3 linked regions of the Callithrix jacchus genome follow. The protein of the gene in region 1 binds, or shares a complex with, the protein of each later gene. Links are inferred from orthologs where the notes say so. Each region holds a gene or a part of one and is shown in the gene's direction. Other genes may lie near its edges.

Region 1 (4,346 bases):
AATAGGATTCCTCTGTTTCTCTAGTCCACTAGCAAAAATAATCAGGGACCCAGAGAAGGTGAGAGAGGTGGCAGAGACAGCGCTCTTCCATTGGTTATAGCTAAAGCCTTACCCACTTTGTGGAGCAGAGAGCCTTAAAGCTGGGGCCCAGATGGACCTGGAGGCCTGGGAGCCACATCTGGAGCCAGATGCTAAAGTTGTGGTAGGACTCAGCCTTCTCCCTGGGTGCAGATGAGGCAGGAGGGAGGGAGGCAGGGACCCCTCTGTTCAATGCAGACCAGGGCACCCAGACTGGGTCCTGAGAAGGGAAAAGATCAATACTGTCTGTGGCTGTCCTTGTCCAAGGTCCCTCTGAGCTCTGACTAGACTTTCCTTCCCACAGTTCCACACGTGTAAAAGGGACTAGGAGAGGCGACGAGCAAGCACCTTTGGAGCTCAGACCAAAAAGCGTTAGGGACTGTGGGGCTCATGGCCATGAGCTTAGTTGTCAGGCTCCTCGGAGGGAGGGAAGCTTGGCCAAAGGGAAGTGGGTGGAGTCCAGGGAGAAGGCTAAGGCCCTGTGTGGGAAGGGCAGGAGACAAAGGTACCCCTGTCTCTTTGGGAAAGAATGGGAGGAGAAAGAGGGGAAAGCATTCATATCATGGGGTAGAGCTCTGCCGTTGGCCCCAGGCACGTTCCTGAACCCTGAGTCATGGGCAGGGTGGAGAAGCAGGAATGGGGTTTTCAGGGACCTTGGGGAGGTGGGAGCCCAGCCCCAGAGGCAAGCAGATGGAAACCAACCTAATGCAAGGATGCCCTCTCCTGGTAGTTGCGGGAACAGCAGCACCAGCCCCCATGGCTGACCTCTAGGGAGCCTGGTACTGTCTAGGTATGCAGACTCCTTTTCTTAAACCCACTCTCCCCTCTCTTCTTTAGCAATACCAAGAAGGAGGGTGATCTGCTAGCTGCTCAGGCCCGGCTGAAGGACCTGGAGGCTCTGCTCAACTCCAAGGAGGCCGCACTGAGCACTGCTCTCAGTGAGAAGCGCACACTGGAGGGCGAGCTGCATGATCTGCGGGGCCAGGTGGCCAAGGTGAGGCCACCCTGCAGGGCCCGGCCATGGCCCCACCTAACACATGTACACTCACTCTTCTACCTAGGGCCTCCCTCAGGAGGTGCCTGTCTGACCTGTCACCTGATTTCAGAGCCATTCACTGGTCCTAGAGTCATTTCACCCACTGAGGCCACATTTTTTTCTTTTTGAGACGGAGTCTTGCCTGGTCACCAGGCTGGAGTGCAATGGTGCCATCTTGACTCACTGAAACCTCCGCCTCCCGGGTTCAAGCAATTCTCTTGCCTCAGCCTCCTGAGTAGCTGGGATTACAGGCACATGCCACCATGCCCAGCTAATATTATATTTTTAGTAGAAATGGGGTTTCACCCTGTTGGTCAGGGTAGTGTTAATCTCTTGACCTTGTGGTCTGACTGCCTCAGCCTCCTAAAGTGTTGGGATTAAAGCTGTGAGCCACCGCTCCCGGCCTGGCCACATCTTATCCTAATTTGGCCACCCATGGGATCTAGCAGAGTGAATTTAAAATAATTGAGGCCAGGTGTGGTGGCTCATGCCTGTAATCCCAGCACTTTGGGAGGCCAAGGAGGCAGGATTGCTTGAGCCCAGGAGTTTGAGACCAGTCTGGGCAACACAGTAAGACTCCATCTCTAGAAAAGAAAAATTTAAAGAAATTGGCTGGGCATGGTGGTGCACACCTACAGTCCCAGCTACTTGGGAAGCTGAGGCAGGAAAATCATTTGAACCCAGAATCAGAGGTTGCAGTGAGCTGAGATTGTGTCATTGCACTCCAGCCTGGGCAACAAGAATGAAACTCCATCTCAAAAAAAAAAAAAAAAAAAGAATAGCTGGGCACAGTGACTTATGCCTGTAATCCCAGCACTTTGGGAAGCAAAGGCAGGTGGATCACCTGGGGTTAGGAGTTCAAGACCAGCCTGGCGAAACCCCATCTCTACTAAAATTACAAAAATTAGCTGGGTGTGGCGGCAGGCACCTATAATCCCAGCTACTTGGGAGCCTGAGGCAGGAGAATCGCTTGAACCTGGGAGGTAGATGTTGCAGTGAGCCAAGATCGGGTCACTGTACTCCAGCCCAGGTGACAGAGTGAGACTCTGTCTCAAAAAAATAAAATAATAAATAAAAGCTAGGAATCAGAAGCGCCGGGCGCCATGGCTTGTGCCTGTAATCCTAGCACTTTAGGAGGCCCAGGTGGGTGGATCACCTGCAGTCAGGAGTTCAAGACCAGCCTGGCCATCATGTTGAAACCTCATCTTTAAAAAAAAAAAAAAAATTAAATTAAAAAAAAAAAAAAAGGAGGCCGGGCGTGGTGGCTCACGCCTGTAATCCCAGCACTTTGTGAGGCTGAGGCGGGTGGATCACGAGGTCAAGAGATCGAGACCATTCTGGTCAACATGGTGAAACCCCGTCTCTACTAAAAATACAAAAAATTAGCTGGGCATGGTGGCGTGTGCCTGTAATCCCAACTACTCAGGAGGCTGAGGCAGGAGAATTGCCTGAACCCACAAGGCGGAGGTTGCGGTGAGCCGAGATTGCACCATTGCACTCCAGCCTGGGTAACAAGAGTGAAACTCCATCTCAAAAAAAAAAAAAAAAAAAAAAAAAAAAGGAATCAGAAGCAGTTTGTTCCTAATTTCACAGTCTCATCTGTTCACAGCAGGGCCAGGATTAGAGTCAGTGGCCAAGCTTCCATCCCGGGTGCTCGCCCTTCCCAGGCCCTGCCACCACAGTATAACAGGGAAAGACCTGGAGAAGCCAGCAGGTTGACCACCAGACCACCTTTCTCCTGGGTCTGACCTCCTGCCTCCCAGCTCTGCCCTTCCCCCAGCCCTTCCTGGTCAGCCGGTGCTTCCTTGCCGTCTTTTTCTTAGAACATAGACACGTTCTCTCTATGTTGTCCAGGCTGGTCTTGAACTCCTGGCCTCAAGAGATCCTCCTGCCTCAGCCTCCCAAAGTGCTGGGATTATAGGCATGAGCCACCATGCCCGGCTACTTTTTTGTATTGGACATAGCTTTTCTTAGCACAGTACCTCCCGAGAGGGTGTGAGTGAATGCTCTGACCTCTGCAGCCATCCAAGACCCTCCTTCCCTGGACCTGTTTCCACATGTATAAAGGGGTGCATGGGCAGCAGCCCACCTCTCAGCTTCCTTCCAGTCCTTGTGTTCTGTGACCCCTTTACGTGACCTCTGCATGCCTCCTCACAGCTTGAGGCAGCCCTGGGTGAGGCCAAGAAGCAACTTCAGGATGAGATGCTGCGGCGGGTGGATGCTGAGAACAGGCTGCAGACCCTGAAGGAGGAACTGGACTTCCAGAAGAACATCTACAGCGAGGTGGGGACTGTGCTTTGCAGGCCAGAGATGGGGCTGGGTGATGACAGACTCGGGCTGGGGGGACCAGCTGCGTGCAGAGCTCACCTTCCTGAGTCCCTTGCCCTAGAATACAGGGAGTTGGGCATAGCCAAGACCCAGCTCCGAGGTTAAAGTGGGGCTGGCAGTGCCTCATGGGGTACAGCGGGGCAGGGAGCCCGGCCCCTGGGTCTTGGTCTCCCAGGAACTAATCTTGGTTTCTGGGTCCTTGCTCCCACCCTTCCAGGAGCTGCGTGAGACCAAGCGCCGCCATGAGACCCGGCTGGTGGAGATCGACAACGGGAAGCAGCGTGAGTTTGAGAGCCGGCTGGCGGATGCCCTGCAGGAACTGAGGGCCCAGCATGAGGACCAGGTGGAGCAGTACAAGAAGGAGCTGGAGAAGACTTATTCCGCCAAGGTGCTTGCTCTCCCCTGGTTCCCTCACTGCCTCTGCCCGCAGCAGCCTACCCTTGCCCACGCTGGGCTGTTCCGCCGGGGAGATCAGGCAGATGGTGGCAGGGAGCTCAGGGCGGCCCAGGACCCAAGGCTGTGGCAGTGATGCCCAGCTCAGGCCTATCCCTCCACCCTCCTGGTCATCACCGTCCTACCCTTGTGTCCTTCCCTCCAGCTGGACAATGCCCGGCAGTCTGCTGAGAGGAACAGCAATCTGGTGGGGGCCGCCCACGAGGAGCTGCAGCAGTCACGCATCCGCATCGACAGCCTGTCTGCCCAGCTCAGCCAGCTCCAGAAGCAGGTGATACCCCACCTCACCCCTCCCTCCAGGGGCCTGGAGTCTGGGCAGGATGCAGGCTGGAAGCTCAGGGCCGGGTTGTGGGGGGTGTTCCTGAGGAGGACAGGGACAAACATGTCCCCAGGACCACAGAGAAGGGTCGCAAGATGCGGCATCAGGCGGCCTGTGTGCTGCTTCTGCACT
Region 2 (4,845 bases), on another chromosome or scaffold:
AAGGCAGTGCCTCCAGAAGTCAGAGAACCAATGATCAAGGGGTCCACCCTACCAAAGCCCCTGCTTCTGCAGTGAGCGCATGTGGTCCTTGCAGAGCACAAAGGAGATCTCAGCCTTCACCTTCTCTCCCTCTTCAATGGGGTCAACAATGAGAAAGTCCCCTGTAGGTAAGAAGAGAAAAGGGAAAGTCAGGCCTGCTTGCAATAAGGAAAGCCAAAGCTATAGGAAATGGTTCTATCGCCTAGAGAGGGCTGCCTCTCACCTCTCTTTTTTTTTTTTTCTTTTTTTTTTGAGACAGGGTTTTGCTCTTTTGCCCAGGCTGGAATGCAATAGCATGATCATAGCTGACTGCAGCCTCCACCTCCCAGGCTCAAATGATTCTCAGGCCTCAGCCTCCTGGGTAGCTGGGATCACAGACACGTGCCCAACTAATTTTTAATTTTTTGTAGAGACAAGGTCTCATTATGCTGCCCAGGCTGATCTCAAACTCCTGAGCTCAAGCGATCCTCCCACCTCAGCCTCTTAAAGTGCTTGGATTACAGGAGTGATCCTCTTACCTCTCTTGATCCAGATGTTCTTGCGGTATTTGGAGGGCATGCTCACAAGGAAACGCTGCCCTTGGGCTGTCTCCACCTCATGCAGATTGTTCCCTGGAGTCCTGAGTACCTGGTTCAGGAGAGACCAGGAATCAGCCTCATCAGTCAGATCAAACACCCTCTCAGACACACTGCACCCTACCCCTGCCCCAGGGGCCCTACAGCGGTTGGGGGGGAGCAGAGCAGCTTGTGCCCAAAGCCACTCACCCGAACAATCTGCTGCCGGTCAGAGGGCACCATGTGCTCCCCCAGCACCTCCTTCACCACATGCTTCCTCTTGGTGGCCTGAGACATGCTTAAGTTGTCCCAGGGTACTTAGAGATGCAGAGACTGTCAATTCCTCCTCCTGAGTTCCTTGGACGGCAGGCTCAGAACCCAGGACTATTCTGAAGATGGGGTGGAGCTTTTTACTGAGGAGTGACACAGTGTCTTGGTTAAGAATATGGGCTCTGAAGTCTTAACTGCCTGGATTCAAATTCTACCTTGGTTCATTTCCTAACTATTCAACTTCTCTAGGTCCCAGAAAAAATAACAGCTAACTCAGCATTGTTACAGAATGGGACAACACAGTGCATGTTATATAAAAGTAACTCCTGCAATCATAACTACTGGTATAACATAAAACTATACACATGCTCCAGAGAAATCACCCTGGCAACCTCTCTGGAAGGAGTCTGAGATAAACCATATCTTTCTCAACACGTTTGTACACCCCAAGTCTAGCACAATCACACAACAGAGAAGTTCAGTCTGGCAACACACTACAGCCGGAGACAAATTAGGTGGCCACCGCGACGGTCCAAGCCAGGAACTAGTTAACGAAAGGTGGAGGTGAGCAGGCTTGCCTGCGACATTTGCATGTTTGACTTTCTTACTTAGAAGACGAGGGCCAGACTGACGGTTTCCGAAGGAAACATCGATATGTCATATCTAGTTGCCGTCCTCCTTCCTCCTCCCCGTCTATCCCGGAGAAAAGACCCTCGGAAAAAGACCCACACTTAAGTCTGTGGCCCTCGGCTCCCAGGAACGCTGCCTGAGCAACCCCGCTGTCCAGGCCGGACGCTGAGAGAATTGTCCGCGACTCACTTGAAGGCTGAGCCAAGAAAACACAGTAAAGGAACTTGCTGACGGCCGCGACGGTAGCGTGAGCTTAAATCCAGGTCTCCAATGTTTTCAGTTCCCTCCAGTCCCACTGCTAGGAGGGTGACGTGAGTTTGAGTCGGATCTCTTCGAAAAACTGTACTTCCGGCGCTGTCTCGGAAGCCTCCCGGCCACCCGTCCCCTCCCTTGTCCGTTCTTCCAACTCTTCCCCACGCCAGTCGGTCAAGCCTAAGTCCTTGAGTTCCGGGTCCGGGCAGCAGAGAAAGAAAATCCTTTCTCTGGAGGCCTTTCTTCCTCGAGTAGCGGGACCTTACAAGGCAGCAGGACTTCCCGCGAAGGACCGGAAAGGAGGACCTACTACAGAGGCCGTCGAGGTCCGGGACGCCTCAACTCTATAGCCCTAACTGGCTAGAAGTGCCCAACGTGGAGGGTTTTTTTTTTTTTTTTTTTTTAAAGGACGCTCTTGAGGCGACCCGGAAGCGGAAGTGGAAGAAAGTTCTAGTGGCTTGAGGTATCGGCGGGAGCGGCCGGGTGGCGGGAGGAACCGTTACGGGAACTGAAGCTGCCGGTGAGCGTCAGCTGCAGAGCAGGGCCCTGGCTAGAGGCCAGATGGGTTGCGAGGAGAATGGGATGAGAGGGGCCGCAGGCGCTGGGGTGGGCCCTTGGGGAGAGCTTAGCCGCGCTGCGGGGAGGGGGCGGGGCGCGGCGCGTGGGAGCCGGCCCGCGGGAGGGGGCGGGCCGCGGCGCCGCGCGATGGGGGCGGAGCTGGGGCGCGGCTTGAACCCCGCGGGCTGGAGGCGAGTGTGCGGAGCGCTCGATTTGCGCTTCGCTCTGTGGGTAGAGAGACCCTTTGGTTAACTTTCCATGCCAAGTGACCGGTCCAGACAGGGTCAGTGCCTTCTTGGCTCAGCCAAGGTCACAGAAGGAGTGACAGCTTCTGGGCGGCCCTGGCTACTGACTCTGGGAATCTTTCCACTTACCCGTTTGCGCCACCTGTTAGGCAGGATCGTTTTTCCTCTGGGCAAGATCAAAATCCAGGTCCTGCAGGAAGAAACTTCTCTTCAGAATAGTAGGGAAGGCTCCCTGGACCTCAGTTTTCTCCTTTTTTGATGAGGGATATCGAGCAAGCCACCATAATGCCTGGCTTAGCTTCCTCTTACTATGAGATTGCTAGTGGGCCCTTAGGAGTTCCAGGTCTTCAACCCTAACGTGTCTTTTTTTGGGATTTCTAGATTAAGCCTGATCAAGATGACAACCTCCCAAAAGCACCGAGACTTCGTGGCAGAGCCCATGGGGGAAAAGCCAGTGGGGAGCCTGGCCGGGATTGGTGAAGTCCTGGGCAAGAAGCTGGAGGAAAGGGGCTTTGACAAGGTGTGGGGTGGCAGCGTGTACCTGGCACAGGCTGGGAGTGGGAGGGAAGTGAGTCCATCTGCTGTGGGGTGGGCGGTGGGGCATAATCTGAAGAGACTGCCAGAGCCTGGGCACCTGGTAGAGAGGAGATGGGGGCAAAACCCGCCCTGCTTCCTGGGCTTGTGTGCTCTGAATGGCACGGGAATGACCGATTTACTCTTATCCCTCACTGAACACTGAGCAGTATGCCCCTTCCTTTTCTCTGTCTCTCAGGCCTATGTTGTCCTTGGCCAGTTTTTGGTGCTAAAGAAAGATGAAGACCTCTTCCGGGAATGGCTGAAGGACACTTGTGGTGCCAATGCCAAGCAGTCCCGGGACTGCTTTGGATGCCTTCGAGAGTGGTGTGATGCCTTCTTGTGATACTCTCTGGGAAGCTCTCAATCCCCAGCCCTCATCCAGAGTTTGCAGCCGATTAGGGACTCCTCCCCTGTCCGCTACAGAGGAAAAGATTGCTATTGTCGTACTCACCTCCGATGTACTCCAGGGTCTTTGGGAGTTTCCTCCCCTAACCATTTCAACTTTTTTGGATTCTCGCTCTTGCATGCCTCCCTCTTCCTTTTTCCCTTGCCAGTTCCCTGATGACAGTTACTGGCTTTCCTGAATGGATTCCTGGCCCTATCCCTCACCCCCACCCTCACTTTCAGTCCGTTTGATACCATTTGGCTCCTTTTTTGGCAGAACAGTCACTGTCGTTGTAAAGTTTTTTAGATCAATAAAGTCAGTGGCTTTCATGACTGGGCTTTGTGCATTGAAAAGCAAGTGGGCTGGGAGTTGCCTCTCCTCCAGGGACTGACCACGTCTCCCCCTCTCCTTATCAGTACAGACCGAAACCGGCAGCTTCCCTTCCACTCCCAGAGGGCAGCCACCCTAGCCATGTAGATCTCAGGCAGGTGACTTGGAGTGTCTCAATCCCCAAGTGATGTGGGAGAGAGTGTGGGTGGATCTTTTCCTGGGAGCCAGATGGACTGTGCTCCACATGTCAGTTAAGTCAACAGCTGGGCTAGGCAGCACCTGGTGGAAAAGTCAGTGGGAGTCAGAGGTACTTGACAGAGGGTGGACCGGATGCGGGTGCGAGTTCACCTACCAGTCATCATATCTGCTTTCCCGGCCTCTGGCAAGGGTAGGTAGGGGGCTTGCCATCTTCCCTGATCTCTTAGGGAGGAGAAAGAGCACAGGCATTACAGCTGGAAGCATGAGAAGGAAGTACACCTCAGTGCATTTTAGCCCTTTCTATTTGTTTACTTTTTAGATTAATCGAGACAGGACCGTGTTGTATTGCCTAGGCTGGCCTTAAGCAATCCTTAAGCCTCCCAAAGCTCTGACTAGATGTGAGCCACTCTACCTGGCCAGCCCTATTATTTCTTGAGCACTTAATATGAACCAGACTTGAAGTTAAAATCTTTGCAAATATTTTTTTTTTTTTACAATAATAAATCATTATATTCTCTTTTACAGGTGAGGAAATTGAGACTCAGAGAGGCTAATTTGCCCATGGACTTGCTGTTGGGAAGTAGATAGTCTGGAACTCAAACTAGCTTGGAAACCCATGGACCTGGCCATGTGTTCCTTGGTCATATGGCTTATCCTCTCTGAGCCTCAGTTTTCCCACTTGGAAAATGAGGTGCTTGTAGGGAAAGGATATTTGCAGCAGTATAAACAACAAAGGACTATTTCCAAAGCACATACAGAACTGTAGTCAAGAAAAAGGTGGACTGGCCGGGTGCACTGGCTCATACCT
Region 3 (4,927 bases), on another chromosome or scaffold:
CCATTATCCATTAAAGCATACCCTAAGGAGCTCTTCAACATTGTTATTTTATTATCTCTAACATATTTAGGTTGTACTTTACCACAAAATGTTATTCAAATGTAATACTTTGATGTTTAAAAAACCTTTTATTGATCACTTTTTGCAATAAAAATATAATGTGTGTATTAAACTTTTAAAAAATTTCCTGTAACTTTATGGCTCTATGCTGTAATTCTTCTGAAGTCAGTAATCATCACAATAATCTTTAGCAAATAGTGGATCAAAATGACACAATTACAAATATTGATAATATACAATTATAAAAGGTGAAATTCTATTGGGAACACATCTCAGTGAGACAGATGGGACTGTCCCACCAATTAATTCATTTATCTGGATGAACAGTTCCTACTGCTAGATTAACAGGGTTTAGTTTTAATTGTTTTTTCATAGATACAAGTGCTGAGAAATGAATTTACATAAACAAATAGGTGGGAATGCTAGTAGTTTTGCTGTAAGAATGTCAACCAATTCTTTGGTTTCTGAGTTGCATGCCAAAAACCAAATAGTGTTCCTTCCTTGGCTGACAATTCAATAGAGCTACCATTAATTTTGTTGAAAACAAATAACTGGAGATCATTTGACTTGAAAAGAATTTGTTAACCTGTTATTAGAATCATTCACTTTCTCTAGTGACTTTTAATTATATTAATTACTCTCAGAGGCATTTAGGCAAGGTTGAGAAATTCAAGATATTAATTTCAACACATCTTTAGCATCACAATATCACAGTAACTTAAATATATTTTAGTCGTAGCTACAGATTTAGCTCACTTTATTGTAAGTAATAGTTATGCTAATTAGCAAGGATAGTATGTTTAACCAATTAATTATCAGATTTACTTTCGGTCAGAATAACTGACCTCACTTTTTAAGTCAAATAAATGTACGCGCGTCCGAGTGACCATATTTCACTTCTGATTCCAAGCGAGAAATGGCACTGCGCCTTACTGATGCAAATTTGTACCCTAGACAAAGTAAGAAACTTTCATTTCAGGTATGTCTAACCTACGGTGTCCTTGCTCTGTTTCCAGGCATTCTAGCAGGCAAAACGCCGCCTTTGACTACACTTGGGGTGGTTGAGACGAGATCTTCAAATGAGAATTTTCAACTCTACCGTCCACTCTCTCATACGCTTGAATTCAGAACACCCCAATACTGGCCAAAAGACTCCATTTCTAATGGCTAGTCTCCCTTTTGAGGTAGCTCTAGTTCAGAGGCTTGATTCTTTGAGACTGGGAAGCCGGCTGCTGTCCGGTCCGTCCCAGCCACCTCAGGCAGAAGCGGCGGCCCACTGAGTTCCGGCCCCAGCCCGGACTAAATGTCGCCTTGTTGGGGGAAGTAGGGCAGATACCGCAGCCCAGTCAGGGTAAACAGCCGACCCAGGGGATGGAACTGCGGCTCTGTAGAGAAAGCGGAGGACTTCACCGCATTCACCGGCCCTGGAGGAAAGCGAGAACCCCAGGCCGGAACCCAGCGTCACGTCGTTGGGGACGAATGTTGATGCAACACAGCTCAGCAGGACCCGGAAGTCAGTCTCTGGCTCCCCGCCCTCTTTGAGCCGGAAGTGAGGAAGGTGGGGCTGGGGCTTTTCCAGTAGAAACTAGGAGGGAGTAGGGAGAGTCTGCAAGGGGAAGAGTGTATCTGTGACACTGCTAGCAGCGCGGAGAGGGAGGGATGGGGGCGGGTGTCGGTGTAGGGGCCTTCGGAAAGAACGGATATCGCTGTAACACCGCGAGGACGCTCTGAGGGGACGAGTGTCGGTGTGGCACCGGTGCACGCTGAAGGAGCCGGCGGAACGGGGTGGCCATGGGGATGTGGGCATCGCTGGACGCTTTGTGGGAGATGCCAGCCGAGAAGCGTATCTTCGGAGCCGTGCTGCTCTTCTCCTGGACAGTGTATGTTTGGGAGACCTTCCTAGCACAGCGGCAGGTGAGCCTAGACAAGGTCCCACCTGACCCCCACACCCGGCCACCCCTAGGCCAACCTTGGCTTCGACCCTGAGTCTCTTGATGATTGTTCCAGTTTCCGCGCCAGTCTCGACCCTGTGGTCCTTGCTCAGTCTCGTAACTTGGCCTGATGGCGGGCTATGGCTTTGAGGGGGCTCTTGGTGCGTCCAGGAAGTTTTCAGTAACGTTATCATGGGAGTCGATCCCGTTAGGCCCTGGAGGAATGCTTGGGCTCTTGTGCCCGCCCTACATCTTCCTTGAGATCCTTGGGCCCAGACTTGGCCTCCTTTATCTTTGGAATAAGCCTTCAAAAGAATTTAGAAACCCAACTTCCTCATGACATTTATGTAATCATGCCTAACCGCAGGATTTTGCAATCCTTCCAACAACCTGCACTGTTGTTTCTCCTTAAAGTGCATATATTGTTTCTGTTGAAAAAAATATATATATATATATATTTATCGGGCCAGGCCAGGAGGCTTGGGTGGCCCATGCCTGTAATCCCAGCACTTTCAGAGGCCGAGGCGGGCGGATCACCTGAGGTCAGGAGTTGGAGACCAGCCTGGCCAACATGGTGAAACTTTATCTCTACTAAAAATAGAAAAATTAGTCAGGGTGGTGGCGCACGCCTGTAGTCCTAGCTATTTGGGAGGCTGAGGCAGGAGAATCTCTTGAGCCAAGATTGCACCACTGCACTCCAGCCTGGGTGACAAGAGCGAAACTCCATCTACACACACAAAAAAAAAAAAAGGAAAAGAAAAGATGAGTATATATATATATATATATAATTTTTAATAAAATTATCTTCATTTTTTTGTTTAAAATATTAAAACGGTAAAATAGAAAGTGAAAGTTACTTAATTTACTGGAGATAACCATGGATTAGATACCTGAACTTTTATTTATTTATTTTTAATCTTTATTTATTTAAGACAGAGTCTCGGTCTGTCACCAGGCTGAAGTGCAGTGGCGCAATATCGACTCACTGTAACCTCCGCCTCTCAGGTTCAAGTGATTTTCCTGGTTCAGCATCCCTAGTAGCTGGGATTACAGGCACGTGCCACTACGCCCAGCTAATTTTTGTATTTTTAGTAGAGATGGGGTTTCACCATGTTAGCCCAGATGGAATCTTTATTTTATTTAGAGACAGGGGCTCACTCTGCCAGCCAGGCTAGAGCACAGTAGCACCATCATAGCTTACAGCAGCCTTGAACTTGCGGGCTCATGCAGCCTTTCCACCTCAACCTTTTTTTTTTTGAAACGGAGTCTTACTCTGTCGCCCAGGCTGTTGTGCGGGGGTGTGATCTCGGCTCACTGCAACTTCCACCTCCTGGGTTCAAGTGATTCTCAGCCTCCTGAATAGCTGGGATTACAGGTGTATGCCACCACACCCGGCTAATTTTTCTGTTTTTAGTAGAGACAGGGTTTCACCATGTTGGCCAGGCTGGTCTTGAACTTCTGACCTCAGGTGATCCACCTGCCTTGGCCTCCCAAAGTGCTGAGATTACAGGTGTGAGCCACCGCACCCAGCCCACCTAAGCCTTCTGAGTAGCTAGAACCACAGGCGTGGGCCACAGTCCCCAGCTAATTTTTGGATTTTTTTGTAGAGATGTTGCCGGCACTAGTCTGGAGTTCCTGGGCTCAAGCGATCCTCCTATCTCAACCTCCCAAAGTGCTGGGATTACAGGCGTGAGCCACCGTTCTCAACCTGTTCTCAGCTTTTATTGGCACAAAACAATATATAAGGAAAGCATATTGTAGTGGCCCGTTATTTTGTTTGGTATTCATTCCCTGTATTATATTTCCTGGGCTGCAATTACCCTTACCTTTTAGAATTTAGTATAATGTGAAAGTTGGTCTTTCTTCTTTTTTTTTTTTAAGAGACAGAGTGTCATCCAGGGTATAGTGCTGTGGCACGATCTGGGCCCACTGCAACCTCTGCCTCCTAGGTTCAGGTGATCCTCTCACCTCCGCCTCCCAAGTAGCTGGGACCACAGGTGCACACCACCACACTGCTAATTTTTGTATTTTTTGTAGAGACAGTGTTTTACCACACTACTCAGGCCGATCTCAAATTCCTGGGCTCACAAAGTGCTGGGATTACAGGCGTGACCCAATGCACCTGGCTAAAAGTTGGTCTTTTCTCACATACCTGATATGTTTCTATGTGGTGCTCCTCAAGTTTCTGGCTTTTAGGACCAAATTTAATGAGCAGCCTCAATATTTGTTCATAGTCATGGTTAGCATGTGTGCTTCTCCTTTCCATGAATTTGTTTTCTCCATTATGTAATAGAGGAGGTATGTAATACCCAGAATGAGTAGTACATGTTACAAAGTTGTGATGTTACAACTTTGGTTTACATATACAAACTGAAGTGTGATGATAACCCTGATTTTAGTTTTACTAGTCAGCTAACCTCAGGTTCTCTTGTTCTGCTTTTATTTTTCTGTATCAGTCATTTCAGTGGTCAATGTACTTGATAAAGTGTGATATTTGTGTACGTATAAAGCATATTCAACAAGAATAAGTGACAAGCTATAAACCATACAGTGTTTGATCATAAATGACTATTGTAATAAACAATCAACCGTTTCACTAAAGTGTTTTCTTCAAAATATTTCAGAGAAGGATATATAAAACAACAACTCAAGTACCACCAGAGTTAGGACAGATCATGGATTCTGAAACATTTGAGAAATCTCGACTGTATCAACTGGATAAAAGCACTTTCAGCTTCTGGTCAGGACTCTATTCAGAGATTGAAGGCACTGTGAGTAACTTACTTTTTGGAGAGACAGTCTGTCAAATTGTTTAATACTTTGTAATGGTTGCTTTCATTTTCACGTTTTTGTAGCACAAAAGAGGGCACCACACTTGCAAGTCCTAGAATGTTTTCTTAACCTTTGTTATTGATAGTAATTGCCGTGGAGCAAAA

The links.
Region 2: the proteins of LMNA (region 1) and BANF1 are in contact, whole or in part, in a crystal structure (PDB 6GHD), measured with the Homo sapiens proteins. The link is inferred for Callithrix jacchus from reciprocal best matches to the Homo sapiens genes LMNA and BANF1. Residues at the interface, in NP_001393912.1 of Homo sapiens: Ser431, Gln432, His433, Ala434, Arg435, Met540, Lys542; in NP_001137457.1 of Homo sapiens: Val11, Ala12, Glu13, Pro14, Glu83, Asp86, Ala87, Phe88.
Region 3: the proteins of LMNA (region 1) and ZMPSTE24 are in contact, whole or in part, in a crystal structure (PDB 2YPT), measured with the Homo sapiens proteins. The link is inferred for Callithrix jacchus from reciprocal best matches to the Homo sapiens genes LMNA and ZMPSTE24. Residues at the interface, in NP_001393912.1 of Homo sapiens: Cys661, Ser662, Ile663, Met664; in NP_005848.2 of Homo sapiens: Ser264, Asn265, Ala266, Tyr267, Phe268, Val332, His335, His339, Glu415, Leu438, Asn439, Asn442, His459, Arg465.

What each region holds. Positions count from the first base shown.
Region 1 is NC_133519.1:16,524,514-16,528,859, forward strand, and holds part of LMNA (lamin), read left to right. Parts: intron 1-915; coding exon 916-1,072; intron 1,073-3,271; coding exon 3,272-3,397; intron 3,398-3,659; coding exon 3,660-3,830; intron 3,831-4,040; coding exon 4,041-4,166; intron 4,167-4,346.
Region 2 is NC_133511.1:123,078,469-123,083,313, forward strand, and holds BANF1 (barrier-to-autointegration factor), read left to right. Parts: upstream 1-1,760; 5' UTR 1,761-2,265; intron 2,266-2,458; exon of another isoform or gene 2,459-2,586; intron 2,587-2,929; 5' UTR 2,930-2,945; coding exon 2,946-3,068; intron 3,069-3,320; coding exon 3,321-3,467; 3' UTR 3,468-3,838; downstream 3,839-4,845. Other genes in the region: putative RNA-binding protein EIF1AD, read right to left, coding at 53-161, 558-666, 804-890. UniProt on the Homo sapiens protein: Non-specific DNA-binding protein that plays key roles in mitotic nuclear reassembly, chromatin organization, DNA damage response, gene expression and intrinsic immunity against foreign DNA.
Region 3 is NC_133508.1:76,822,879-76,827,805, forward strand, and holds the start of ZMPSTE24 (CAAX prenyl protease 1 homolog), read left to right. Parts: upstream 1-1,620; 5' UTR 1,621-1,851; coding exon 1,852-1,974; intron 1,975-4,615; coding exon 4,616-4,762; intron 4,763-4,927. UniProt on the Homo sapiens protein: Transmembrane metalloprotease whose catalytic activity is critical for processing lamin A/LMNA on the inner nuclear membrane and clearing clogged translocons on the endoplasmic reticulum.